Alligator mississippiensis: one gene and its partners. The protein of the gene in region 1 purifies or fractionates together with the protein of each later gene. This does not show direct contact. Links are inferred from orthologs where the notes say so. Each region holds a gene or a part of one and is shown in the gene's direction. Other genes may lie near its edges.

Evidence for each region.
Region 2: the proteins of nuclear cap-binding protein subunit 2 (region 1) and KPNA1 purify together in Homo sapiens (affinity purification with mass spectrometry; 3 studies listed by BioGRID and IntAct, with this or other methods). This does not show direct contact. The link is inferred for Alligator mississippiensis from reciprocal best matches to the Homo sapiens genes NCBP2 and KPNA1.
Region 3: the proteins of nuclear cap-binding protein subunit 2 (region 1) and KPNA3 purify together in Homo sapiens (co-immunoprecipitation; 3 studies listed by BioGRID and IntAct, with this or other methods). This does not show direct contact. The link is inferred for Alligator mississippiensis from reciprocal best matches to the Homo sapiens genes NCBP2 and KPNA3.
Region 4: the proteins of nuclear cap-binding protein subunit 2 (region 1) and KPNA2 purify together in Homo sapiens (affinity purification with mass spectrometry; 4 studies listed by BioGRID and IntAct, with this or other methods). This does not show direct contact. The link is inferred for Alligator mississippiensis from reciprocal best matches to the Homo sapiens genes NCBP2 and KPNA2.

Annotation. Positions count from the first base shown.
Region 1 is NC_081831.1:83,089,428-83,096,738, forward strand, and holds nuclear cap-binding protein subunit 2, read left to right. Parts: upstream 1-4,304; 5' UTR 4,305-4,354; coding exon 4,355-4,441; intron 4,442-4,553; coding exon 4,554-4,735; intron 4,736-5,400; coding exon 5,401-5,539; intron 5,540-6,295; coding exon 6,296-6,394; 3' UTR 6,395-7,052; downstream 7,053-7,311. Other genes in the region: TEX11 (testis-expressed protein 11), read right to left, coding at 1,745-1,866, 3,938-3,971. UniProt on the Homo sapiens protein: Component of the cap-binding complex (CBC), which binds co-transcriptionally to the 5' cap of pre-mRNAs and is involved in various processes such as pre-mRNA splicing, translation regulation, nonsense-mediated mRNA decay, RNA-mediated gene silencing (RNAi) by microRNAs (miRNAs) and mRNA export.
Region 2 is NC_081824.1:238,043,157-238,050,024, forward strand, and holds the start of KPNA1 (importin subunit alpha-5), read left to right. Parts: upstream 1-3,855; 5' UTR 3,856-3,965; intron 3,966-6,868. UniProt on the Homo sapiens protein: Functions in nuclear protein import as an adapter protein for nuclear receptor KPNB1. Binds specifically and directly to substrates containing either a simple or bipartite NLS motif.
Region 3 is NC_081824.1:414,741,490-414,748,933, reverse strand, and holds the start of KPNA3 (importin subunit alpha-4), read left to right. Parts: upstream 1-4,440; 5' UTR 4,441-4,513; coding exon 4,514-4,594; intron 4,595-5,118; exon of another isoform or gene 5,119-5,461; intron 5,462-7,168; exon of another isoform or gene 7,169-7,257; intron 7,258-7,444. UniProt on the Homo sapiens protein: Functions in nuclear protein import as an adapter protein for nuclear receptor KPNB1. Binds specifically and directly to substrates containing either a simple or bipartite NLS motif.
Region 4 is NC_081831.1:6,287,640-6,294,703, forward strand, and holds the start of KPNA2 (importin subunit alpha-1), read left to right. Parts: upstream 1-4,059; 5' UTR 4,060-4,143; intron 4,144-4,269; 5' UTR 4,270-4,316; coding exon 4,317-4,391; intron 4,392-4,548; coding exon 4,549-4,686; intron 4,687-5,370; coding exon 5,371-5,459; intron 5,460-6,364; coding exon 6,365-6,633; intron 6,634-7,064.

The DNA of each region.
Region 1 (7,311 bases):
GGGTATGCAAGTTCCTCCATGGAAGTTTTCCAACAGTACAGGATTCTTTTAACCTAGCACAGGGATCAGCAGCCTGTAGCCTGCAGGCCAGGTCTCATTTGGCAGTAGGGGCTCTCCCTGTGCTGTGCCACAGTTGGCTGGCAGGAAGAAGTGGCAGAGGCGGTCTGGTCCTAAAGCTCACACACCTAAGATCTGAGCCAAGTCATTCCAGTCCCCCACCAGAAAACATTTCCAACCCCTGATCTAGCAGGCAAAGCTAAGACAAGAGACAACAGCTAAAAACTGAGCCTAGACAAATTCAGACTTGAAGCATGGTGCAAATTCCAAAGTAAAAAAAACCCCTTGGAACAGCATACCAGGAGATGTGTTGGATTTCCATCATTTTGAGTCTTAAAATCGAGACTGGGCATTTTCCTTAAAACATGGTTTAGCACAACCAGGAGTTATGGCCTCGATACAATAGCTGGGTAAAATTGTATGGCTCATGTTATGCAGGAGGTCAGGTTACATGGGGGATAATAACGGTTCCTTCTGGCTTTGGATTATAAAAATCTATGAACCTAACCTATTTTTCCTATTTTAGGAAAAATATATTTATATAAAATATTTCTGAAGTAAAAGTTTCACTAGCAGCTTAGTTAGGTAACAGGCATCCAAAAGGTAGCATGTTATAAGAGGGAACAGGACTGCAGCTGGAAACAACCAAGATGCCTTCACCTCCCTTACATCCATCATTGCGTAATAGGGCTGGAGGGGGTTGAGAGGATCGCCCTCTAGATCCAACCCCTGGCATGAACACTACTCCTAAATCATGTATATCTGATGCTTATCCAATTTCTTGAGAACTTCCAATGAAGTAGTTCACAAAATCTTTGTCTGCTAACATTTCCAAGCAAGATTTTGACAGGGATATTTAAAAATGGGAGAAGTTTGCAACTTTATTTGTAAATCATCCTTAACTAGGATTTTGGAGGAGGGGAAAAACCAAGAACTAAATTTATAAGCTTTTACACAATTATCTCTTCTATTTTGATTAGGTATGAACTATAAGCAATCAAAAAGCCAAGACTCCAAAAGTATTAACTCATTTACAATGCATCTACAGTTTATCATTTAGGTGGACATTTAAAATTATGACTAGTAATCACTAATCAATGTGAAGCACGGGAAAGATTTTTACTAAGAAAACTTCAGTGTTTTTATATTGCGATTTTGGAGTGTTTGTATTTACAATTTTAACATCTTCATTATTCTTTTCTACATTTATTTTACTATTGTGCTTTTTTTAGTCTTTTTGCATTGTTAGATTCAAAAGTAAAAAGTCACAGCATCTCATTCATGTCAGTAGTGTTGACATTTAAATAAGGATATTTTGCCTCAGAATTCAAAAACATTAATACATATCATTTTGAAGGACAGGTGGAATCCCCCACTTGCCAGTTGCTAATGTTTACTATTCTAATATTTACATTTTTTTTTTTTTAGAAACACCTCTACTTTCTTCAAATGTGCTAATGGAGAAGTAGAAATGTTATAGTGTATGCTCTATAGTTATACAAAACATAAGTAAAACATGCAAAAATGTAAGTGCTTTTATAGATTCTCAGTACTATGACAACTCATTATCTGCACCAGCCAATGAGCATTCAAACTGCAGTAGATACTGCTTGCCTCCACCTTGGCTGTAAGAACAGACTGTTTTTAAATATCCAGCTTTGGGATCCAACAGTCCCTGGCCTTCTACCTCAGCCTCCTGAATCTCGTCCTCTGCCTTCTTATCCACATTTTCTATTTCAGAGAATAGTTTGTCAATGATCTCAGGAACGTTGGATGGGGCGTCTCTCTTCAGCAGCTCTTGAACAAGCTCTGAAAAATAAGGTGCATGAGGCAGAAACGGAGTGAGCACCATACAAATGTTATGAGTAGCACATCATCTCTGAACAAGTCTGTACAAGCAAAACCCATTGGTTTACATTTTCTTCATATTTTCCTGGCTAATAAAAAAGCACAAACAAGGAGACCAAGAGAAGCTGAACAAAGTAACTCCTGAGAAACAACTCTATTCTAAAGAAAATTTATTTTAGTTAAGGCATAAGGCTATATTCTGCTAAACTGCGGCAGTGAAATCTACATTTGTCAAAGGAACTAAACATAAGTAAAGAGTGCAGAATGTGGCACATCTTATCTGTGAATAAAATGTCTGCTTCCCCCAAGTCTTTTGTTCCCTCCTAAACAACTTTTATTCTTGGGCCCTCTGAAAGTATAATGTACACAACCTGTATTCAGGATCTTTGATACTGGTAAGCCAACGCCAGCGCTTCCTTTGAGGATCATAGAACAACCTGCCACCACCGATTCTAGAATCCTAAAACCCCCATGCATCTTTATAAAAAGAGAGAAAACTGCTAAATCTTTAAATCCCTGCCCTTGGCTTAAAAGGAAAAAGTCGGACTTGATCAGGTGCTCTCTTAACCACTCTCAGAATGTGGAAGGAATGAGGTTGCTTTAGTGGGTAAATCCCTTACAACGGCAGCTGGAAACTACTCCTCAGAGCAGTTTAGGGGACCAAATAAAACCATATAAAACCTTTTTGCCCTCCCTTGTCTCCAATTCCATAGTTTTTCACGTGCTAGCTTAAATATCTACCCCCAGTTGGGCAGCCAGTAGCAGCACTACACGGTACAGACATGAGAGCCCAGTACCTTGCTAACAAAAACCCTGACTCTGGTCCAGGAGCAAAACGAATCCCTCCCGCACCTCTGCCCCAGTCACTATAATGTTTGTTTTACTCAAGTCGACGGAAAGCTCCCTGTAATCTCTGGCAAGAGAGAATAGTTTTAACTTCCAAAGACATCAAAAACAATAACGTGAAAAGGCAAAACAAGTTTTGTCCAAGTCTCTTAACTGATGAACTCAGGAACACACAAGGCTCTGCAGCCACTGCGAGTTTCACAAGTTACCTTATTACATATTGTCCTAACAAAAATGAATCTGTCGACCACATTTCCTTTCCTGTAATCCTAGCACGCCAGAACTAATCACGCATTACTTTTAATTGTAAGTTACGTAACAGAGCGTGCCCTTTTCCTTGATCGGGAACAAGTTATCAAGTACCTATTTTAGACTCCAAAACTAAAACAAATACAGGTTGCTATTTCCTCTGCAGCCGTGCGCTCAGCTCAACCGGGTACAGGGCGAGACACGGCCTTCACGTCGAACGTTACGCACTGGTCGCTAAGCTTTTGGTTTAGGGCCAGAAGTATTTCACCCGGGGCGGGGCCCCGGCAGCCGGAGGCGTCCCGCTTCACGGCACATCTCCCCTGACGACTCAGCCTGTTCCTGGCGGCCCGGCTCCAAGGCAAAGCAGCTCGGCACCACTGAACAGCCAGACTGCCCGGCAGTCGCCGCTGCACCCCCGGACGTGCTGCGTGTCTGCCCAGGAGGCTGCCGGCTCTGTCAGAGCCTGCTCTCGGGACGCCACCGCGCCCGGCGCAGCACGCAGCCCCGACGCCAGGGAGGCAGACGCACGCCACTGTGACACTGGAAAACCCTGCCGGCCTCCCGTCTACACCAGACACAGCTTTTCGTATCGGCTGTAACGAGCGCCCCATTGCTCGTCTCCCGGGCGACTCTCCCGGGCGCTCGTCTCGAACTCGAGGCTGTCCTGCAGCACGGCGCTGCGGTGGCACCGGAGCGCCGTGGGAGCAGAGACGGCGCGGGAGGGTTTCTCGGGGGAGCTCTTGCTCTTCTCGGAGGCGGGAAGCCGGGCGGCGCTGCACTGCATTGCACTGGGAGACGGAGGCTGGCGAAGGGGGGTGAGGTGGAGAAGCGGGGTGCGCAGGGCCTGCAGTGAACCAGGCCGCCCCCAGCAAGCAGGGCCCCTCACCCCGCCACACCAGGCTGCAAACCCTCGGCGGGCAGGGGAGGGAGGCGCTACCTTGCAGGGCGGGGAGGCTGGGGGCGCCCGCCATGCCGCAGCGCCAGGCTGCTCGGGCCTGCCCCAAGCACGAGGCAGCGCCTGCGCCTCACACCCCGCTCCTCGCACCTCAGCGCCTGGGCGCGCGAGGTATGCCGGGACACGCGCCTGGCTTTCGCGCCTGGCGCGAAACTACAGCTCCCAGCGCCCCCCGCGGCCGCGCACGCGCACTTCCGGCGCGGCGGAGGCCAGCCCCACGCGGCGATTGGCTGGCGGGCAGGGCCCTCCTCCAATGGGGGCGCCGCCCCGCCTCTCCTTGCGGAGTGGCGGGCGCTGGGCCCAATGGGGTGGGCGCGCGGGCGAGCGGGGGAGGGGCGGTTCCGGCGGCGCTGCGCCGGGGCTAGAAGGGCGGGAGGAGCCGGCGCGTGCTGCGGCGCCATGTCGGGGCTGCTGGGCACCTCGCTGGGCGGCCTCAGCAGCGACTCCTACTGCGACATCAGCCAGTACCGCGACCAGCACTTCCGGGTGCGCCGGGGGACGTGGGGCAGGGCTGGGGAGGGGGTTGGGGTGCGGCGGGCTGTGGGGGAGGGGATGGGGGTAGCCGGCCCCCCCGCGCTGACGCCCGCTGTGCCCCCAGGGGAGCCGGTACCTGCAGGAGAAGTCGCTGAAGGCGTCGTCGACGCTGTACGTGGGGAACCTGTCCTTCTACACCACGGAGGAGCAGATCCAGGAGCTCTTCTCCAAGTGCGGCGACGTCAAGCGCATCGTCATGGGTCTGGACAAGATCAAGAAGACGCCGTGCGGCTTCTGCTTCGTGGAGTATCCTGCAGCCGCTGCCTGCGCGGCGCGGTGCCCTCTTCCAGGGGCTTCTTTGCTGCCCCTCGCCGGGTCTCAGCCCTTTCCGCGTGTGGGACGGGGCCAGGCCGGGTGGGACCGCTGCTCGTGCTGGCGCGCGTGGTGTCTGGCCGGCGGAGGGACCGTGCGGTCGGTGCGTTGCTCCGGGCGGGGGTGTCCCCCGCGCTGTGCCGGCCCGGTGGGCGGCTGTCGTGGCGGTGCCCATGCACGGCGCGCATCGCAGTGCGTGCGATCACCGACCGACCCGCGCAGTAGCATCTTCAGCGGCCGCGCACGGGCAGCTAAACGAGGCGTCTCCTACAAACGAGGCTCGAAGCGGGGCTGATGCAGCTTGAAGTCCTGCGTACAAATTCAGCACGCGCTGTCCCGGAAAGGGGCACGTGTAGCGCCCTGGGGGCAGCGCCCGGCCTCTCCCTGAAGCGAGGGACCCCTCGCTGTTGCTTTCGCTGTGCCAGAGCTGAGACGCACGAGCGCGGCCTCGCGCTGCGCTGGGAGGGGACTGGAGCCAGTTAGCGTTTGGGTCTTGAGTTGAAAGTCAGGGTTCCTCCATGCCATATAAAATTACTCTCTCTTTCTACCTCCCTACCCAGCAGAACAGCACCTTGTATTTTCCTTATAAGTTATTCCAGATATTACACAAGAGTGGAAGCTGAACATGCAATGAGATTTATTAATGGCACCCGTCTGGATGACCGCATTATCCGGACAGACTGGGACGCAGGGTTTAAGGAGGGCCGGCAGTACGGGAGAGGAAAGACGGGAGGACAGGTAAGCAACAGACCAACGTCAGTCTAGAACATGGCTCCCCGGGGCTCAGCTGGGTGCTGCTCACCGTGACTGAGCCAACACAAAGCAAGAGTAATGCAGCGTAGACCCAATAACTGAACTAAAGCCGGTCAAACTGGTTTAGTACCTGATGCTGGACTGGAGTAAGTGATTGACAGTTGCTGCTGCTGAAGAGCTGGGTTCCCGGCTCCTGAGGGCGCAAAGTGAATGTTGCTCTGCTGTCAATGAGATGCTGTCAGATTGATGGAGGAAACAAGCAGGGAGGAAGAAACGGTGCTCGGGAAAGACAAGTGCTAGTCTGGGATGGTTGACACAGATGACTCTACCTCAAGCAAGGGGCTTGCCCTAGATGTGACCCCCTGAAGGTCTTGCCAGCCCCGTGTTTTTGTTGTGTGGTTGCAAGGGCAGTCTTGTCAGACGGGATGCGCCAGTGGGAAGATGAGATTCATTCCCAGATTTCAGAGGGTTCAACCTTGACAATCCGTCAAGCCAGACTGCAAAGCCAAACTGAACAGTGTTTGGACTGTTTTGTATTGCTTTGACATTCAAAACAGCCCCACACTTGTCCTGTCCCTGTTGTGATGGGGTGTTATCAAGCGAGTTGAAAAACATGAACTTGCACCCTGGCTTTCAGCCCACCAACTGCTGGGGTGAGGTGGAGAGGAAGCTGGCTCCTAAAAGCGTTGTGACATGTAAGTAGGTGGAGGGTGTTAATGCCTCCTCTTGCTCTGCCCCCAGGTGCGAGATGAGTACCGGACGGATTATGACGTGGGGAGAGGTGGCTTTGGCAAGATCATCCAGATGCAAAAGGCGAATCAGCAGACTATGATCTACTAAGTGCCTCATTTGTCCTAGCACAGAGAAGGGCACTGGTCCTCCATAGATAGCCCTGTCCTTGCCCTTTGGACTGGGATGGGGAGCAAGGTCCAGGTTCCAGGACGAAGTGATCCTCCTTAGACTGGCTGTCTACATTTGCTCATTCCCCTTCCCTTTGGGATAGAGAGGCTGTTCCCTGCTAATGCAGGGCAGCAAGGGAACAGCGTGGCCAGCTCTGCAGGATTCTCTTTAAGGACAAGTGCAGCATGGCACCCAGACCCTGGCAGCAACTCACTCCTCTTGCTCTCTCTGGCACAGCTGGCTGCCTCCAAGCTGTTCTTCCAGCCACTGTTGTTTCCCTCAAGTTCAAGCTTTGAGAACTCATCAGCCATCAAAGCTGTCTCACCTGCCCAGGCACAGGCAGGAGTTTCAAGTCTACCGTTTACATTGTCTCCTGCTGTTTTAAAGCACTGTTGCTGGCTTGGGTTGGAGAAGCATAATCAGACTGTACTGGCCAGTGCAAGTGGTGCCTGCACTTCTATCCCTGGGCTCAGTCAGACCTGCAGAGTCCCTGTCCTCGCCGTGCCCTTGGCACTGCCTAGGTGGGGCACAGTCTCCCAGTTACTGTGTGGTTTTTGTTAAGTGTCTTTTGGGTTTTTTAAATAAACGTATAATCCTGTCTCTGCAGTCTGTGCTCTGGTGCTGTTTACCTGTGACGGGCCTGGGGGGCACATCCTGCATGCTAAGGGATGGATGCCTGCATTTGTCTGAGCTTCCCCTTGGTGTGGGTGTCACTTTTCTTCTCGTGTTTATTCCTGGTTGAAACAAGATGGAAATCAGCAAACTAGTGCTCCCGTGCTCCCATCCAGGTGAGTGTGGATAACTTACTACTGTGACTTAATTCACCATGGTTCCTTTACTTCCCACTGCTTGCCCAT
Region 2 (6,868 bases), on another chromosome or scaffold:
ACACGGAGCAAGGGACCTTGAGGAGATCACGGCCCTCCGCGAGGACCCCGCCGTGACAGTCCCTCTCCATGTTGTCTGCATCCCTCCTGAAGTGCGGTTCCCAGAACTGGATGCAGCACTCCAACTGCAGCCTGACCAGTGTCGCATAGAGGGGGAGGATCACCTCCTTGGACCTGCTTGAGATGAATTTGTGGATGCATGACAAGGTATGGTTGGCCTTCCTGACCGCATCCCCACACTGTCGGCCCATGTTCATATTGGCCTCAATAATGACGCCAAAATCCTTCTCTGCCTCTGCACTGATGAGAAGGGAGTTCCCCAGCATATAGGTCTGCTGCTAGTTCTTCCTCCCCAGGTGCAGCACCTTGCACTTGTCAGTGTTGAAACCCATCCTGTTCTCATCTGCCCACCCCTGTAGCCTGTCCAGATCCAATTGCAGCCTATTCCTTCTAGCGTGCCCACTTCTCTCCACATCTTAGTGTCATCTGCAAATTTGAACAGGGTGCTTTTTACCCCTTTGTCCAAGTCGCTGATGAAGATGTTGAATAGTGCGGGCCTGAGGACTGAGCCCTGCAGAACGCCACTGCCCACATCCCTCCAGGTCGAATAAGATGTCTGGAAAACTGCAGCCTCCAGCAGATGTCTGGAAAACTGAAGCCTCCCATCAGTACCATACCATAGCTTTTGGATAGATTTATCACCCCCTTGAAGAGTGCCTCATTCATCTTCTCTTCCTGATTTGGGAGCTTGTAATAAATCCCCATCATTATATCAGTGCTGCATCTTTCACCTTTCATGTTCATCCAAACGCATGCTACTTTTCTGTCTTGTTCCCCCTAACCAGGGCACAGGGTAGTAAGCCTACCCGGTCACAAAGCACCAAAAGAACAAAGGAAAAAGCTAAACTTACTGCAGTGGTGAGCCCGAATGGGAGAAAAGTCATGCTGGAATTCCCAGATGGTAATTAAAGCAATCAGCTGTGACAGCCAGCAAAGCAGTGAATGGGACACTGAAGCTGAATACACAGCTGATCAGTGCGGGAATTTAAAAGAGAGCCGACTGAGCAGTCAGCTCTCCTCGGGTGAAGGGAATGGCATGGAGGGAGACCCGTGGGACCACAAAGTGACAATGGTGGCATGCAACCAACCTAAGGGACTCAGGAGAGTATTTTGAAGAAGTACTTGCCCACGGAGCAGGAAGGATGAGGTCGTTGGAGCATCCAAACCAGTGAGTCTGAGTCCGGTGGGTGTGGGACTGCAATCCAGAGACATGAAGGAGGGGAAAGAAGAGACCGAGCGTGAACATGAGTTTGGGGCATTGGCCCAATATAATCGTGTCCTGAAGGATAAGGGTAGGGACAAGCTGTATGATGGTCTGCTTGGGACCCGTGTGGGAAATAATGGGGCAAGCAACCAAGAACAAGAAACCGGCTGCCTAGAAATCAGTCAAGGCAACCCAGAGACTGAGGCTCCCACAGAGGGGACCTAATGAGATTACTGCTGAAACATTTGGTGTGGTAAGGACAGGGGATGGGAATAGGGGAGCCCTGTGAAGAGGAGCCAGTCTTCTAAATTGTAGATTTAACACCAACTTTGTCTCACAGGACTGTGTCCATCTTTGGTTCCTTCCTTTTCCATCTAAGTTGTGGCAGGTGAGTTTAAAGGAGACTATCCAGTCCAACAAGAGGCTACAATTTTACTTTGGTGGCAATTGCAAACCTCAATGTGATATTCCAGTCATAAGAGCTGTCCTATCGGGTCTCTATGATACCGATCAGGTTATATTTCTTTCACAGGCTACAGCTTCCAGATCATCTTCTTTATTTCCCACACTTCCTGCATGTGTGTACATGTATTTTGCATTTTGATGTACTTGCTTCTTTTTTGCACCACTTGTTGCTGTCCCTTGGCTCTCTGGCACCTTTCCCAGAGTTGAATTGCTTATTCCAGTCTTTTCCCCTCTGGATCGTTTGCTCTATTACTGGAAGATTTTGATCACCACCCCCATAATTAATTTGAAGCCATCCTTACTAGGTTGGCCAGACAATGCCCAAGATGCTCTTTCCCGTTCTGGTCAGTCAGACCCCATCACTTGATAGCAGTTCTCCTCCCCAGAACATCCATCCATTGTTAAAAAATCTGAAGCCTTCATGCCAACACCACCATCTCACCACACATTTATTTCCATGGTGGTCCCTTCCTGGGCCTTTCCAGGGAGTATCAATGAAAACATCACTTGTGCTCAGTCTCATGCCAGGAGCCTCAGGAATCTTTAAAGGACACTGCTCACTGTTGCTCCTGGCAGTGTTGTTGGTATCTACAAGGACAGGCAGGAAAGGGTTGTGGTCTAAAGGATAGATGAGCTTTGGTAGTCTCTCTGTGACATCCTGAATTCAGAGGCAGACACACATTTCTCAGGACCCCAAATGTAGTCAAGCTGGTGCCTCTGTCTGCTGCAGCAGGGAGTTGACAAACGCCACTCTTCTCTTCCTTCTTGGAGCAACGGCTGTAGAGCCCCCTGTCCCTGGGGCCCTGTAGTTCCTGCTCTGTAGACTGCTGAGTCCTCTGGGTTGTACTTTTTCTCCTTTCCTTGCCTCTGCCTTTTCCTTAGCTTTTCCCCCTGCTGTTCTAGGATGTCAGGGGAGGGGGATTTCACAAAGAACAGTGTCAAAAAACACTGATTCATCTGGGTGGACTTTTTAAAAAGGTATTTGTAGGATAGAGTTTACAATACTTGAGAAATTAAAAAAAGTGTCATGTTGGGCCTAACTTAACTATGTCACACTTACCCCACACCTCTTTTGTACACATGGGCACCTCCCTTTCATGGTGCAGTCCTGTAGCGCTATGGTTCCAGACTGAGTTAAACCATGTTGGTGTTGCTTCCTTGTGCAGCGCTCTCAGAAACACTTCATGGCAGAGGACAGAAGCCCTCGTGCTGCAGGCAACTGGTGCCCCTGAGGCAAAGGCAAATGCAAGGTGCACGTTTTTGCCAAGGATTTTGTGAAGGTCCTTTGCAAAACATCCTCCCCCTTGGAAGGACTGCAGCCCCTCTCCCCTCCTCCAGAGGAGCCGCACAGCTTCAGGCAGGCACTGTGACCCGCCGTGCAGCCAGTGGATGCGACGCAGTCCAGGCTGTTGAGAGAGGACGCCATACGCTATGATGTCAGTTGCCCCTGCCAAAGACAGGCGTGAGGGCAGTGTTGTCAGGTCTTAAATATGAAATTATCGCATTGGAAGTTCACAATGATCACATTTGCTGCAAAACTATCGTACACTGAACAAATATGCAAATAAGTATACAAATACTTGTGAAGGAGTGGGAACTGGATCATCAAAGTTGATGCATTCCTTTGAGGCAAGACATCATAAGAAAGTGCTGACGGCAAGCCGCAAAGTCAGCTACAAGTCCCCAAGAACAATTTGGGTTTCGCATCTCTTGCATAAATGAGATGCCTCAAAAATTATCGTTCAGCCCCAGAACTTTTCGTGTAAATACGGTAATTCTCGCACCCCCCCCCCCCCGGTGACGAGGGGCGCAGGTAGCAGTTCTGGCTCAGCGGCCCCGCCCCCGCCGCTAGACCCCGGGTCAGGGCCGGGCGGTCAATGACGCCGCCGCGCATGCGCGGGAGCCCTGAGTCGCCAAGGCCTGGCGCTGGAAAACGGGTTGGAGAGGAGAACGGCGTGTTGCGCTGCACTCTGGGAGATGTAGTCCCGTGGGCTCGCCCGGCCGTAGTAGGTATGGAGTCTGTGGCTACTAGGGTCTCGCCTATTCCGCCCCACCCTCCCCGGCCGGAAGTGGGCCCCGTGTCCCAGCGGGCTGCGCGCCGGCGCCGGAAGCTACGCGCCGAAGGTCGGCGCATGCGCGTAGAGGTCCCAGCCAGCTCCGGGCAGGCAGGAGCCGTGCCCGCGCGCTCGGGCCCGACACGACACGCGGCGGGGCCGGGCCGGGCTGACGGGCCGCAGGTAGCGGGGGGCGGGACGGGGCTGCCCGTGTTGGCAGAGCTCGGCCGGGCGGGGCGGACGCCGGGGCCGCCCGGGGTTGGAGGCGGCCAGGCCGGGGCGGCCCCGGGCGGGAGGGGGCCGGCGTAGGCACACACCCTTGGTAAGCGGGCTCCTGCCCCGGGTTGGAGGTCGCTACGTTCAGTGAGTTGCTGGTGGCCCGGCTGCCCCCCGGCTCGGGAGTGCTGCTGTGACTTGGGGCTACTGTTTCTGCAGGCAGAGGGGGCAGAAGGATTGGGGCTCTCCTGTCCTCATGCTGTCCAGCCTCACCTCTTGCTCTTGGTGACAGCTGTGGCAGTAAGGGTGTGTCTGCAGCAGCCCCGGGTGTGACTACTGCTCATGTAAACATACCAATGCAGGCTTTAAGCTGCCAGCAGGGATCCATCTCCTATTTACCTAACTTTGTGGGTAGATTTTGCATCTGCATTGAACTCTGCGCTGTCAGGGTTGCACTGTTTTTTGGCATGTGAGGTGGCTAGCTTAAAGCCAGTACAGATACAGCTACATGAGCTGCAGTCATATCTTTGACTAGTGGTGCTCAGCTTTTTCCCTTGGTGGGCCAGATGGGCCTTACTTGGTCTGTTCATGGGCAGGTGTGGTGTGGCTCCATCCAGCTGCACAGAGGGGGCCAGGAAACAGCCCTGCCCAATCCAGTCCTGTGGGGGCATGTAAGGACAGTGAGGAAGGGGTTACGACCTGCCCCCAACCCAGCTGCAAAAGATAGGAGCAGTAGGTGTGTCCCAACCCCAATTCAGCCGGGGTGGGGCATGACCCAACCCTGACTCAGGTGGGTGGGCGAGGTAGGGAGTGTGGCCCAGACCCAACCCTGAGGTGGGGAGAAGGAGGCATGGCGCACCCCAGATTTGGCTGTGTTGAGGGAAGGGGCCATGGAAATTTGGCAGCGGGGGGGGGGGGGTGGCCATTTCTGTTTCACCACTAAATTTCTGTATCCATGGGGAGCTCTGTGGGCCAAATGTGATGGCTCTGCAAGGCCACATTTGGCCTGTGGTTCAGAGGTTGAGCACCACTGGTGTAGGCAGATCCTTAAAATTGTGGCATAAAAATTGGGAGGGTGGCTGGATGGGTTGCATCACCGAGGAAACCTTGAGAATAGGGTTCTTATCAACAGCTGATTTCTGTTGCCATAAATTTTCATGTAGGTGCAGTTACAACTTTGCTTTCTGGTAGAATGCAGCCACCCCTGGGAATTAGAGACTATCTGCTTTTGGTTTATTGAGGTCTCCCTCCATTTGTTTAAAAACATTCTGTTGTATCACATCTTGGCTGCTGCTGCATGTGACATGGCTTTTTCCTTTTTAACAATCAGAGTGCTATATACTGGTGCATTTGCTACAAATCTCGTAAATATGCTGATGGGAACCCTGGGTCTTATATACTGAGCTCAGTGTTGTATTTCTCTTGGATAACCAATTCACTTAGAAAGGAAAAAAATATATAATTAATGCTACATTACAGGAAAAGAGCTTGATTTACTCCCAATAAAGTAGGTTTGGGTTTTCTTGTTACAGGTTCTTCAACAGTTGCTGAAACATTCTTAACGAGGGATCTTTAAGCTTAAAACATGTATTTAGTTGCCTTGTCTGATTTTTTCAAAGGGAATAGTGTCATAAGTTCAGCGCTGCTGTGCAACCCGCTTTTTCTGCTCAGTCAGCTGAACCTAGTAGAATAATATGCTTTATTTGAGGCTGCTGTTCTGTAGTTGTAGGGCTTGTGTTGATTTCCTTTTAACTGTTTGTGGCTTTTTTCCATGAGAGTGTGGAATGTTTTTCAACAGTTGTTGTTCTGGAGGGACAAATGACAGATTGACTTGAAGTATGCTTACGTGTGCAGAAGGAAAACATTTCCCTTTTTAATTCAGGGAAGTATGGCCATATAGCAAGGTGCATGAAGTCATTCCAAATAAACCACTGTCTCTTTCAAAATGGAAAATAAGTGAAGAAAGGAGTGTATAATAGGTCAGTGAAATATAGGGATTAGAAGAACTAAAAAGGGATGGAAAAAGCAAAGAGTATATATGCTTTCAAGTGTATCAGATACAAAATTGAAGGTTCAGGAGAATCTTTTTAGGTGTTCTGGGAGTTGAGGGAGCAATTGAGAGTAAAATCTATCTAGAGAAAAGCTAGATGGCTGCTTTCTTCTTTACAGCAGCAGATACTGGGGAAATACTAGTTTCATACTTCATCTGTTTATTAATAAACAGATAAATAAGTCAGATATTGAGATGCGCTAACAAGAGGTGTTAGAATGCATCATGGAGCAGCAAGTCAGCAGGAGCAGATAGTATAGATCCAGAAGTTCTGAGGGAACTTGTGGATTGCTCTGCTAATAGAAGTGTGCAGTCTTCCATTAAAAGTTATTACTAGCATTGGGAGAATTGGAAAGAAATACGTGTACTTATTTTAAGAGAATCCTGGGGATCATCCTGGGAACTGTAGATGAGTCATTGGTATAACTTCTGAGTAGATAAGTCAAAATAGTAATCGACTGTAACAGCTACTTAAGTCCTTAATATGAAAGCAAATCAGAATAGCTTTTGTAAAGGAAAGTTATCTATCTGGTCAAATGTAGCCTTTCAAGTCAGTGTGACAAAGGGGCTAGATGATGTGGATTCTAGCCTGTAGTTTTGGTGGGGAGCACTTTGCGGAGGTTCAGTGTAGGCAGCCTTTACTAGGTCAGGGCAGCACGTTGGGAGGAGCCCTGATTAGCTTGCATCTGGTGCAGTGGAAGGGCTTAGGTGGCAGGGGAGGTGGAGGGAAGCTACTGTGTTGCCCACAGGACAGTGGTGCGGTGGGGGTTGGTGCTGCTAACATGACAGCAACTCGGGGCAAAGGGGAGTTTGCATTGCC
Region 3 (7,444 bases), on another chromosome or scaffold:
CCGCTCCCAAAACAATGTGGCATCTCATAACATGGCTGGGATTGCTCCGAGCCGTGTCATTCATGCCCACGTGGATAAAGGAGCATAGGGTAGTGGTTGTTGGGCTGGATGAGTTTAGGGATCCTCTTGGCCATGTCCTGGACACGGGTTCCCAGGAAGCAGCAGACCTCCTGGGCTAAGGGGGTGGGGCGACAGATTGCACCCTCAGTCACCCTCAGGAGGGAGTCTCCCACAACCACCACTCTACGAGTGGCCTTAGGGAGAGCAGGAATGGTAGTTGTGGGTGAGCCTGCATTGCCAGCAGCAGCTGGCAGCTCTGCAGGCTCTACTGGGGCTGCAAGAGATTTGTACCTGTTGCAAAACTCCAGAGGGGAGGGGACCTTGGTGCAGCGGGCCTTGGGGCCGCTGACCACCTTGGTCCAACCCCCTGGCCGGACTGTGTGGGAGATCCCTGAGTCCTCCCTTGTCCTGGAAGGTGACCTTGGTCTACCCTCTGCCTCCAGGGAGTGAAGGACCTGGCAGTAGGAGTCTATCTCCTGCTTGCCATCCCTGATGGCACGTAGTCTCTGGACTGTGGCCTGGAGCTCCTCAATCTGGTGCCCCAGAGACTACAAAGTGGAGCAAACCCTGCAAGAGGAGGTGGTCATGGTCCTGGTCCCACGTGCCTGGCAATGTGCCAGGCAACCAAGAGCCAGAGGCTCTGTCTGCATGGAGCCCAGAACTGTGGGTTCCATCTGGGTGAAGGCCTCTGAGGTGCCAGAGGGAGAGGCTGCAGATTCCAAGGGGACCCTTGGGGTGTGGCGTGTGCCCATCCACGTTGTGCCGCTGGTAATCTGGCTACTGATGGCACTAGCTTCCCTAGGACTCACTAGCAGGGCCTCGGGCCCTCCCGCTCACCATCCTGAGTGAACTCCCACGCTAAGCCATGCGCCGGGCCCAGAAGCACGCCTATTTGTGTGTCCTGTTTGTGTGGCTCCCTGGGGGGCTGGGCCAAATAGGAGCCAGGACAGGGCAAGACCCTCTTTGGCTCCTCTCAGCTGCCTCGCCGCAGCTGAGCTACCCTAGTCCCCTCCCACCACAGGCCCCACTTACCTCCGGCTGTGCTGGGGGTCATCGGGGTGCTCTGTGGCTGTTGGAGGTTGCTGGGGGGCTTCAGGGTGTGGGGGCGTGGCAGGCATGCACCCATGCATCTCGTGCCACTCTGAGCCAACATCTTGTTAAGAGTTTGGCCTGTCTATTTAATTGAGGACCCATACCTTCCTTTGTTTTTCTCTTCTGGCCTAATTTCTAATATAATAAAAGCCTTAGACCCTCTGTCCATCTGTCTGTCTGTCCGTCCAGAATACTCTGGCCCAACTGTGCATACGCTGCCAAGAGGGCGGGTGGGATGGGTTGTGCTCAGGCTGGGCTGAGTAATGGGGCAGTTGGAGCCCAGTGGTTCCTCCAGGGGTGAGGACAGGCGGCTTCTGCAGCTGCGTGCACCACGGGGGAACCAGGGCACATTCTCCCTCACTTTGGCTCCCTGGTGCCATGGCCCTGGACCACCCACTGGGCTTTGATTGCCCCATGCCCTGGCCCAGCCGGGGCCCTGTTCACAGTGAATGTGGCCCCACCTGGGCCGGGTCATGGGACAATTGGAGCCTGGCAGCTCCTCCAGAGGCATGACACCAAGGAGCGGAGCAGGGGGGCACATTGTCCCCTGTCTGTGCACAGGGCAAGGGTGGGCTTTGCTTCTGCTTCCTGCCTTGCTACTACTTCGACAGTGGTGCGGCACCATGGCCTGCTACACAGCGGGACTCGCATGGTGCTGTACCGCGCCGCTGTCAAAGCAGCGGCAGCGAGGCAGGGAGCAGAGGTAGATCCTGCCCCTACCCTATGCACAGACTGGGGGCCCCCAGCTTCCCAGCACCACACCTCTGGAGGAGCTGCTGGGGTCCGCTTGTCCCACAAACCGGGGGGCCCCAGTCACTGTGAAAGGGGCACCGGCATGGCTGGGTCGTGGGGTAATCCCCACAGTGCAGGAGGGAGTGGGGCAGGAGCAAGTAATTTGCCCCTGCCCCACTCCCTCCTGCACTTTGTCTCCCTCTCTGCCCTCCCAAGCCCAGACAGGCGGAGCGGGGTGGAGCAGGGCCAGAGCCAGAGTGGTGGTGGGGAGCAAGGGTGTGGCGGGGGGAGTGGGGTGGAGCTCAGAGTGGTGAAGTGGGGGGCATGGTGGGGGCAGTGGGTCTGGGCCTGGGCCTGGTGTGACAGGAAGGTGGGGCGGAGCTGGACACGGGGCTCCATCCCCGCCCACCTGCCCCCCACGGTCATTCTTTACGGGGAATTTGCTAGTATTTTTATAATGTCTTTTTGTTGCCCTTAACTTGCTTTACCAGGTGAAGTTTATTTTTTACTCTTGCCTTCCTGATTTTGTCCCTGCAAATTCTATTTCCTGGTATGCTTTCTTGGTAATCAGCCCATTTCTCCATTGCCTGTATGCTTTCCTTTTGCTTTTGAAGCATCTTAGAAGCTCCCTGTGCAGCCAGATTGCTCTCTTGCCATTCTTCTCATGCTTCTGTCATGTTGGAACAGCTTCTTGTTGACCTTCCAATACTCTTTAGAAGCTTCCAGCTGTCCTGGGTGCCTTTATCCTTTAGTCTGTCCTTCCATGACATGATGAGTACCATCTCCTTAAGTCACTTGAAAGCTGCCTTTATGAAATACAGTGTCCTAGTTCTGCTGATCTTACACTTTCCCAGTGTTAGGATCATAAATTCTATCATATTGTGATCTTTTTCTCGCCTTTGCATCCTCCACCAATTCTTCCCTATTAGTCAGGACAAAATCCAAGATAGATGATCTCCTAATTGTACCCTCAACTTTCTGGAAAAGAATGCTGTTCTCCACACAAGGTAGAAACTTGCTTGACTTTTTATGTTTGGCTATATGATTCTTCCAGTAGGTGTCTGGAATATCAAAGTCTCCCATCAAGACAATCTCATAACTGAGATAAATTTTGTCACTTTCTTGAAGTGTCTCATCCACACTTTCATCCTTTGTAGTCTATGATAAACCCTCACCATTTTATTGGTGCTGTATTTTTCACCTTTTATTTTCACCCACATATATTCTGACCTTCTTTCTGAACTGGAGAACAAATATGTATTTTTGACATACAAAGCAAATGCCACCTTTTCTCCCAATCCTGTCTTTCCAAAAAGAGAGTGTAGCTCTCACTGCTGAAATTCCAGTCATGGAAGCTGTCCCACCAAGTCTCTGTGATATCGTAGGAACATAAGAACTGACATGTATTGGGTCAGATCATAGGTCCATCTTCCCAGTATTATCCTGTGTCACACAGAGGCAGAGATTGGATGCTGAGAGGGAGAACAAATGGGTTTTTTTTTCACTGTTCATCTCTCACTTGCACCCTCCAGCATAGGTGACCACTTGTGAATCATGCCATTTTTTTACTTTGGCCTCTAAAGTCCATCTTGGAGGCACCAATATTGAAATCGCCACCCTTGGGAACAGAAGTGGATCCAGATGGTGCACTTGCACCCCCTTTGATTCCTGCTTCACCTTTAGTTTACAACCACCTGTTTGGCAGTACCAGCAGCATTTCTAGACTCTTCATCCACGTGTTAGCGACCCACTCTTCTTTTTCATGGGCTTGATGTTCCACCAGTCAAGCTAACCTCTGCTCTGCCATGCTGCTGTCTGCTTGTGGGAACGAGCTCTCTCACAGCCCTGCAGGTTTAACTCTCTTTGTTATTGTGTTGCTTCAATCTAACAGAATGACACAGCCCCAGGCCCCTATCCCTGAAACTTCAGGTTTATTTTTAACTAGAAGGGTGGTTGTTGCTTTATAGGTGATGATCCACCACGCTGCGGGCACCCCGTTTCCAGCGCCTGCATCCGCCCAGGCTTGGGAGCAACTCAGTTCTCGCAGGGGAACAGCTTGATAGACCAGGAGGAAACTAAGCAGCTGTGCAAGGCCTAGGCCCTAGCCCCGGACCCGGTGCAAGCCGAACTGGGAACTACGGGCCAAAGCCTACCCGGCTCACAAGGGGCCTGTTCCCGTGAAGCGAGAGCGGAGGGAGACAGAGGAGGAACCTAGGCCAAGCTGCACCCCGCGGAGGCGCTTGCAGGGACCACGGGGGGCCGTATGGTAACAGCCCGAGGCCGGAGCACCCCTTCCCCTCCCTATTAGCAGCGCAGCGAAGCCGCCGCGCGAGCAACTGCCGCTTGACGCTGGGCCTCGCAGCCCCCGGAGGCGGGACGGCAGGGCATGCTGGGTCTTGTGGTCCGCAGCCGCCGCAACGGCTTCGGCTCCGCGCCAGCGCGCGCAGCTGCGTCCGGGCGTCGTCACGTGCCTGGGGCCGCGCGCCCCGTCACTCAGCAACGGCGCTGCCCCCCCCAACGGCGCGCCCCGCCCCTCCCCGCGGCTCGTCACGGAACGTCCGTGCCCCGCCCCCCGCGAACCGCCGCCGGAGCCGCCTCGCAGGAGCTGGGAGCCGCCGCCGCCGCCGCCATGGCCGAGAACGCTGCCGCCGCCGCGGGCCTGGAGAACCACCGCATCAAGAGCTTCAAGAACAAGGGCCGCGACGTGGAGGTGAGCGCCGGGCCCTGCGCGCCGCGCCCCCCCAGCCGGCTCCCGCGGCCCGGCCCGGCGGGGAGGGGCCGCCAGAAAAATGCCTCCGGGTTTTAATTCCCCGTCACGCGGGCGGGGCACGGGGGCGGATCCTTCCCCCCTCACGCCGCCGGGCGCGGGGTGCGGGCAGGGCCCCCCATCCCCTCCCCTCCCCTCCCCAGCGCTGCCGGCCGGGCTGGGCCCTGTGGCCGCCGCTGTCGCCTCCCTCATCGGTGGTTCCGGGCGCTGGAGGCGGCGCTCGCGGGCCCCGGAGGCGGCGCTGAGCGCGCGCCCACCCAGCACCTCCCCCCCAGCCGCGGGGGCAGGCCGTGCCTGGGCCGCTAAAGGGGGTTGGATCCCGGCGGGGTGTGGGGGCTGCGGTAGGCCTCTGCGTGGCACCCGGCTGCCTTCCCCGACTCGTGTTGTTGGCCGAGCAGGTGGTGGGGAGCCTCTGTTGTCTTCCAGCTGAGATCAGGGGAGGGGAGATAAAGAGTGAGAGTCAACCTGCCGGAGAGAAAGGGGTGCGGAGCCTCGCTCTGACAGCTTTGCGCTCACCCGTGGGCGGCCGGCTCAGTCCAAAACGGGCTCTGAAGCAGCATCCCCCTCCCCCCAGCTCCTATGGGCTGGGGCAGAATTCGCACTTTAGCTGCTATTGTTTGGGTGGAGGCCAGTCTGTGCAGGCCTAGCTCAGCAGTAGCCTGCCTTTGTACAGATGACATTCACAATGGAAACTAATCTCTATCTCCGTGTATATGGCACTTGCTGGGGGTGAATCTGTGGGAAATAATGCTTTCTGCAAGGTGGATGCACTTGTGAAGGGACGGTTGTGTGCCTGGCAGTCCAGCAGTGGTAACTAAATTATTGTTATCTTTTTTTTTTCTTTTTTTTTTTAAGGGCCCCACCCTTAGATTAAGTAGCTGGCTTCATTACTGGTTCTTGCCTGCTTCTCGCCCTGTGAAATCGTTCATCCTCCTTTCCCGTCTCCCTATATTGAGAATATTGATTTTGCTTCATTGTTTCTGCGGAAATCAGGATCTTCATTTTCTGTCTCCCCAGCAGCTGGCCGAGCTGGTTAGAGAACTAAGTGGGGGCAGGCTGATATTCTCACTTGGTATGTCTTGCCATCTAGGCTTCCTGATATGTGGGCTTGTTTGAAGCTGGTGGCTAGTGAGCTCAGAAAAGGATGTTTCTGTTTACAAAGGGGAAACTGCCATAGCTGTCTCAAGAGAATTATTCAGCTTTAGTTGTGCTGGTGTACCTCCCTTGTGTGGCTGCTGTTCTCAAGTAGTTAATCTGCATTAATTGCTCTTATTATGGTTATTCTGTGGTCAGTTTTCCTGAATAGACTAGCCCTGAAGCTTCCCAGCTCAGTGGGTCACAATACTTAGCCCTGGTGGAGTGTAAAAGGTTCTGTACTAGAGCTAAAAGGTGATAAGGGAGAAAGCTTGTTCAGCATTAATTTCTGTACCCCCAATTTTTATTATTCTCTAAAGAAGTAAGGTAGTACTTAAAAAGCTTTAAAGTCACAGAAGAAATTAGATATTCGGTATAAAGGTTATGAATGCTTTACATTAAATTTAGTCGGTTTAAAAAACAAACAAACAATTTAAGCAGAACTCTTAAGAATCAGAATGTGGCTTGTGTTAAATATTTGGTGATTTTCAATATTTCTTGTCTGTTGACTTCCTGATTGACTTCCTGTTTAGCATGGAGGTCATTCCTGAAACTGGTGGTAAAAGTACCCTCATCAGTAGCTTTGCTTTAACCAGTTGTTATACCAGTGTATCTACTAGGATTATTTTAAAAGACTTGATGAGTTTACTATTGGGCAGGAGTATTTGCCCCCAATGGGGCACTAGGCTGGATCTGGACTGCAGGGCTCCTTGTGGGTTGGATCCAACCTGGGGCAGGAGGGCTGCCTCAGTAGCCACCATGGTGCAGGGCGGGCACTGCAGGTCTGGTGGGGGCTGGAGGAACACTGGAGTCTGGTGGCAGCAAGCCAAGCTTACTACTGATTGCCATGCCCAGCAGGGCCAAAGGGTCCAACTGTGCAGTCTGGTGGGCAGGATAGGGAGACTGTAGGCCAAATATGGCCTGCTGGCTCAATGATTGACACCCCTGCTCTAGGGAATACCACATGTGTTGAACTGTTCTTTTGAACAAGAGGTGCTGACTTGCAGGTTTGTTGCAGTGTAAAATGAATTGTATGCCAGGCAAAGCATTTACATCCTGTGATATGGCTATGGACCTGGTAACTAGTATAATTGAGTAACAGCTGTAAGGATGGCATCTTAAAGTCTAACTCTTTAATTCTAAAGTAGATAGATTGCAGTCCATTTCATTCAGCTGTGTGGTGCCATCATTGACTATAGGAGAGGTAGTTAACTTTGTTAGTCTAAGATCAGGAAGGGTAGGGGGCACAAGTTAGTCTTTAACTTGTTGCACTCTCTCTCTCCTAGTTGAGAATTGCTTGCTTTGAGCCTTTTGCCACAGTGAAGGTGCTTTTTATATAATATAGGAAATTCTTCCAAAATTATTGCCTTTACGTTTGTAGATAACTTTTTTAAACAAAAGAGGAACTCTAGAAACCAGGAGGAATACCACTGATCATTTGGGATGTTCAAGTGAGCTGAGATCTTTGTAAGGTAACGTTCGTAGAAAAATGAACTATTCTGGATGTTGGACTTGTATGTGCTGATTTATCTACCTTACAGTATTGCTTTTTTTAGGACATCTTAACTGTTAAATGCCTTATTTCCAAAAGAGGTTCACTGATATATCGGTTGTGTATCAGATTAGCACTGATTAAAAGGAAAATGAATGTTATTGGCT
Region 4 (7,064 bases), about 77 Mb from region 1:
ATTGTAAAATGCCAGGTGTGATAGGGAAGATCCCGTGGGCTGGGTGCCAAAACACATCTTTCCAGCCAGAGGAAGACAAACCATGTGGAGCCCTCCATCAAAAAGCCAGGCGCAGCACTGGGGCTGGCCCTTTGTTTCAGGCTAAGTGGCTTAGTGAGGATGATCGCTGTTCCAATTAATCAATGCATGTGGTCGCTCCGGTGCTCCTGCCACATGGCTCTGTAGCGAGGCACTGCTCAAGCCCAAGCACATGTGGGAGGGTGCTGCGGTCTTAGGGCTGGGTTTTGCCCTCAGTGGGAAATCTTGAAATAAAACAAAGTTTTCAGACATCTCTTTGTGGCTCATTGCTATGGCCAACATGGAAATGTTCTTCCTTTTAAATGAGTTGTATATCACGGATATCGCTCGTGTTTGAATGATTGTATCTGTGAAATTAAGGATTTCAACAGAATCTCCCTGGATGCAAAGTGTCTTGTTTTTTTAAAGCAGCTGAGCATGGTTTTTTGGGTGTGTTTTTTTATTATCACCATATTTAAGTTGTTTAAACTTCTCTACTAGTAAAGAAATGATCTGGCTTAGAGTCCAAAAGCGCGAGAGAAGAAAGCGCGAGAGAAGAAAGCGCAGGCTAGGTTGCATAGACGGCTGGAGGGAGGGTAGGGTGCGGTGCTGTGAATTATAACAAAGTTTCTTTTTTGTACGTGATTTATATCCGAGTCTCAGCGGATTGTATGTGGGGTCCTTAAAGAAAACTGTATACAGTCATAACCCCCGGCTGTGTAACACCCCAGCCCATGCTCCTATGTAGCCGCGTTGGGATGTTTCCCCGCAATTTCACTCCCTTTGGGGTATCCGTCGTAATGGCGGAGGAATGGTGGTACCTTTGTGCTGAGCAACAGGCCTACAAAAAGACGCTGCGTTTGTCCTGGGATAACCATTTTTATACCGGCACAAAGTACAATCGTTCACGTGCCCGTGTCTTGTCCTGGCATAATTCCTTTAAAAAAAACCATGAATCGTTATCTTCGGTGACTCAATGGCAGAAACGCAGCGGTGTGTCCGGCTGCTCCCTGACCCTGGCTCGACGCGCCTCGCGTGCGCGTACCAGTGCCTCCCGGTCCCGCTGGCGAGCGAACACTTGTGCAGCGTGCCCGGGGACAGATGTGGCACCTGCTCCCAGCCCGGCTGGATGATGACAATGTCTTTCCCATCTAGTAAAGCCTGACTAGCAGTAGCAAAAGCCCTGGGAGAGGACCGGGGGGAGACGTTTAAAGGGACTAAAGCCCTGATAAGCGGGGTTGTTCCCTGCTCCCACCAGAGCAACAAGCCCCCCCTGCACCGCCGTAGTTTGCACATCGCTGCCCATTGTTCAGCCCTCGGCAGCTCCCAGGCCCTTCCCCCGGGGCCAAGGGCGGCCCAGGCGCGGTTAAAAGCGTCTGCCGGCAAGGAGGAGGCCGCCGGGCCGCCGCAAAAACGTGTTTGCGGTACGACCCAGATGGGACTCGAACCCACAATCCCCAGCTCCGGAGGCTGATGCCTTATCCATTAGGCCACTGGGTCACCCGGCGAGAGCGGCGCGCGGCGCGTTCTAAGGGCCCCGCCCGCGCGCTCGCCCCGCCCCCGCCCCGGCCGCTCTCGCCACGAGGCCGCGCCCCGGAGTGGGCGGGGCCTAGCCTCCCTGCTCTGCGCTGCCGGCCGCGCGGGCGCGGGCGCGGGGCCGTGCACGGCGCTGCGCATGGGGCCGGGGTCTGAGTTTCCCCTGGAGGCTGCAGTGCGTCCGTTTGGGGCGAAATGCAAGCTGGGTGATGTCCTTCCAGGAAATGGGCTGTGGACAAGCAGGTGGGACCAGCTTCAGCCTCAACCACCTGCACTCTGCCCCTTGTCTGCCACCGGCTCTTCGGTGCTGCTGCCTGCACAGGAATGAGGAGTTGAAGAAACAAACCGCCTGCTCTGGCCTGAGATCAAGTGATCCCAACTGCGCGAGCCCCTCTGGAGGACTTGGGGACGGCACCGCCTCCCTGGGACGCGACTCCAGACTGCAAATAGCAATTCTTCCTTATGTCCAGCCCGAAACCAGCTCTGGCAGTCTAGGGCCGTTGCTCCTTGTCGTCCCCTGCAGACAGGTGGCTTTGTCTGCTTCCCTCTCGGCTACCCAGCCTCACATCACCCCTTTTTATTTTAAGACTTTTAAGAACTTTAAGAATCAGAACAAACTTTATTTTAAGGCTCAGAATAAACTACGTACAAAATAAGCCCCGTCTCAGAGTGAATAAATCAAGCCTTCTGACCCTTTCCTATTGTCTTTGCTTGCAGTGTCATTTCCCAGGGGCTTCTGGTCATCCACCTGTAAGCGACCCTGGGTTTTGGATCTGCACGGTCAAAACGCTCTAATTTAATCGATGCCTGTCGTTCTGGGTGAGATCTGGACAGCTGGGTTGTATTGCACAGGCTCCTGCTTGCTTGACTCCAGCCAGCTGTGTTGGGAAAAGTGTGCTCTGGATTCTGATCTTTTTTTGTTAATTCATAGAGACACGGGTTGTAGGGGCTGGAAGGGACCTTGGAAGATCATCGGGTCCAGCCCCCTGCACTAGGCAGGAAAGACAAGTGGGGTCACTGGCAACATGGAAGGGGTGCACGTGGGTGCACGTGCACCCCCTGGAAGTGCCAGCTGCAGAACCCGAAGTGCATTCCTGTTTCACCGCTGGCTCGGCAATTGGCCGCTGGGAGACCTCCGTCCCCCATTGGCAATCTGGTGCCCCCCAGACTCAGGAGGCACCAGTCACCCATGGTCAAGTGACCCCAGCAAGGCGACTGTCCAGTCTCCTCTTGAAGATGTCCAGCCTTTCCTCGTATGGCTTGCTGTGCCAGTCTCCGATCACACGAGTGGCTCTTCTCTGGACTCTCTCAAGCTTTGCCACGTCCTTGTTGAAGTGCAGTGCCCAGACCGGACGTGGTATCCAGCTGCGGTCTCACCAGTGCCAAGTAGAGCAGGGAAATCACATCTTTGGTTTTGCTGGAGATGCATGGGAAGCACTGAGGCTTTGCAGTGGAGAAGGCAGGTGCTGATTGTCTTGCAGCGTGTGAGACTCCTCTTCCAGGAGCTCTGCCAGGTGGCTGACAGCGTCGTTGTTGCTCAGTAACAATCCGGTTTCGATTGAGCTTTTGGAAAGCAGGGTGCCGCGTAACATCTCAGTGCCGCTGGCTTTCTTGGTCCTCGTCCCGCAGGGCCCAGAAAGGTTTCGCATATAAGGACTGCTGGGGTTGGTGTATTCTGCAGGTGCGATCAGGCAGCCCTGATGTTATTAGTGGTTTGGGATCCTGCGGATTAACAAGTGTTGTTGCTCCATCTCTGGGCCCGGCAGCGAGTATTTTTGTTGTCGTGCAGCGGTCGGGAGCCACCGTTCGGGTCTCATCCTCACTTCATCTACTCGAAATGGCCTCAGTCAGATCTGGAGGGGGGCCACACCACCCAGCCAGGAGTGGAAGCTGGTGCAGGACGCGGCAGCCTTCATGGGCCTGAATAATCCCTGCTCGTCACGGGCAGCGCTGTTCCCGTAGCTCAGCGCCCTAAAAGGCCGCTCAAGTCTTTGACATACAAAAAACTAGAACTCTTAGATCCAAAATGATCCCTTTCATTAGACCAAGTGGAAAATGGCAAGAAAATTGTCCTTGCACACTTTGGCTGCATGAGCTTCTTCCCTGCTTTCTGCTCGCTCTAAACCCGAGCTGTGTACAGTTGGGGGTGGACCCATGGGGGAAGACTACACCTCCCAGCATGCCTTGCTCCCCCTCCCCCTCCCCCTCCCCCGCGGGCAGAGTGAAGCACGGGCGAGGCCTGCCGGGAGTCGTAGTCTCCTTGACCCTCTGTCCCGCACTGCACGCCGGGAGATGCAGTCCTCGGGGGTTGTGACGCGACCGAGGGAGAGGGTCTCGCGAGAGCTCCGCTTGCCTCGCGAGGCGAGCTGGTTTTTTCAAACCGGCCAATGAGGAGGCTGCTGTGGCTCGAACGGACCAATAGCGGAGCGGGGCAGCGGGAAATTTAAATCCCGCCGGGGGCGGGGCCGCGGCGGAGGGGCGGGGTCGGCGGCAACGTGCTCGGCGGGTCAGTGCGGCGGCGGCCAGCGCGCGGAGCGGAGGTGTGCTGAGGTGCGGTGCGGGCCGGGGCCGGGGCCGGGGCCGGGGCCGGGGCCGGGGCCGGGGCCGGGGCCGGGGCCGGGGGGAGCGGGGGGATCCTGCGGCTCTCCCTTGTTCTCACCCCCGGCTTCCTTCCAGGTCTGCCTCTTGCATCCGTGCTGCCTGCGACGCCCCGACCGGCCCAGATGTCCGCCAACGAGAACGCCGCCGCGGCCGCGGCCCGGCTGAACCGCTTCAAGAACAAGGGCAAGGACACGACGGTGAGCGCCGGCCCGGCCTGGAGGCGTCGCTGGGTTTCGGGGTCTTTTTTTTGTCGTCGTTGTTGTTTTTTAATGTTTTGTTTTTTTTAAAGCGCCGCTTTGCACTTTAAAAATTAAAAAAAAACCAAAAAACGTGACAATTTCCTTTTCCTCTCAGGAAATGCGGCGGCGGCGTATCGAAGTCAACGTGGAGCTGAGGAAAGCCAAGAAAGACGACCAGATGCTTAAAAGGAGAAACGTCAGCACTTTACCGGACGACGCCACTTCTCCTCTGCAGGAAAACAGGGGCAATCAGGTACCGGCAGTGGCGTCGTAGGCGTCGGGGCTGGAAGGGACCTGGGGAGACGGGCGAGTCCGGCCCCCGCCCCAGGGGCAGGAAGTCAGCCAGGGTCACGGGGTCCCAGCAAGATGAGGGTCCAAAAGTGTTCCTCTGATTGCAAGAGGTTACGGCTTATTGCAGACTAGGGCTGGTTTCCCCCTTGGCGCTGAAAGTCCCGCGTGTACAGCGACTCCTTGCTGAACGCGGTCGCGTTCTTGATAAACGCGACGGTCGATCCGATTACGCTGGCAGCCAAACGATGGTATAACCGAGCGACTTTGAACGAGCGTGTTTTCTAATAGATCGTCAGCGTAGTAACGAGACTGCGTCAACCGGGGCGAGGTTAAGTGAGGCGTACCTGTACTCGGGAAGAGCACGCACCAACTGCAGGGCCATCCTCAGCCTGCCGAAGGGTTTTTAAACCCGAAAGCTTCCTAAAAAAGATGTTTTCCAACTATTTAAGTTGGTCAAATAAAGGATATCGGATTCGCCCAAAGAGCCTTGAGTACCTGTACAGCACCGTACTTACACCTGGTGCCTTACGCTTGGTGATGTCAAAAGCACAACGCCATAGATCCTTGCCAAAGCAGAGAGAAACTTCTTATGAAGTTTCTGCTTCTCCTAACGTAGTTCTTAAACCTGTTTCTGTCCCATGGACAGGTCTGTGCACACTGGTCTGTTGAAGAAATAGTCAAAGGAATTAGCAGTAACAACATAGAACTGCAGTTGCAGGCTACTCAGGCCGCAAGGTAAGCGACTTGGTGTAAGTGTCATTTGGTGACTGGGGATAAGGAACAGGGTTTAACTCCGCAGAGCACAAGCACCAAACATAAAGCTGAGATTTTGGCAGGCTAATATTGGGCAAATGTTGCTAATAGTAAATAAATAATGCTGTGTTATCTGGCCTCAGGTAAGTAAATGAGTTCTCTGGGCTATGGTCAGTATTCAAGGGACTGAGCGTAAATGGAATTACACAAGCGCTGGTGCTCTCTGACTGTTTAGAGGTGTCCTCTGAGCATGAGACTTCACCTGGCACTTGAGCTGTACTTTTCCTTCTGTCTCATGGTGTTAAGGGTGATGTGGATGTTGGAAGTGTCAGATTTTTTTATCCTCGGCTCTATAGAGGTGGCGGGTATTGCGATTTATTTGTAAGGCTGGAATATGAGATGCTAGTACTGAGGAGCATTCCCTCAGCTTAATGTATGAAAGTGGAGGTGAAAGAGGGAGGCTTTCACCCTAGAGTGTTGGTTCCAAATACAGCATAATAGTTGAAGTTTGAAAAGTCCTGCACAATGAGGTAGGAGGATGATTACCTGAGATGGTAGTGCAGCTTCTGGCAGTTATTGCCATTTACTTCAAGCAGTTCCAAGTGCATTATTACTTTTCCACAACCAAGTAGCTTGGCTTAATTTCAGATTTTGGTTTTTTTTTTAACAAACAGTTTCAATACAAAGCTGGATCTGTCAAAAGCAGTCTTTAAACCACTTAATGTAGTGTTCAGCTAGTCTTTATTGAACTTCTTTGGATGTTTGCCACTGTTGGAAGAATATCTTTTTAAAGTAAAACTTGGGTCTTCTGCTGACTAAATTGGAATCTACTGTTCAGGTTGTAGTAGACCAAAAAAATTAACTCCCTGTGTTTGTTTCTGTCTTAGGAAACTGCTGTCCAGAGAGAAACAGCCCCCCATAGACAACATAATTCGGGCTGGCTTGATCCCCAAGTTTGTCTCCTTTTTAGGGAGAGCAGACTGTAGCCCTATTCAGTTTGAATCTGCTTGGGCACTTACTAACATTGCTTCTGGCACGTCGGAGCAAACAAAGGCTGTGGTAGATGGTGGAGCCATACCAGCTTTTATCTCCCTGTTGGCTTCTCCTCATACTCACATCAGTGAACAGGCTGTGTGGGCTTTAGGAAACATAGCAGGTATGTCAGTGTGCTGCACTTACATCATTTTCAGGCCAATTAATTTATGAGGGAAAGTCACTGGGGGCCAGAGTTTCAAAATTGTTCATGTCTTCCCTGCCTAATATGGAGAACTCTTCCAAAAATCTGAACCTGGGTGTCTAGCAAAAGAAGCCTGGAACACAAACCTGGAGCGGGTCAGCTACAGCTGCTTGTCTTGCTTTGGCTAGCAGTTGTATCTACTATGACTTCAAGCAAGACTTGGTAATCTATAGGGTGTTGCTATTTGACAGGACTCTTCTATCTTAGTGCTGTCTGATCTTTAAAGTCTTCTGAGGAAATTCTGCTTAATCCTGAAACTGAAATCTGTGAGAGAGGGGGGCCTTTTGGGAGGAGATAACATATTACTTTGTGAATGCTAGGTCATCAAAGGAGCACACTAGCAAACCACG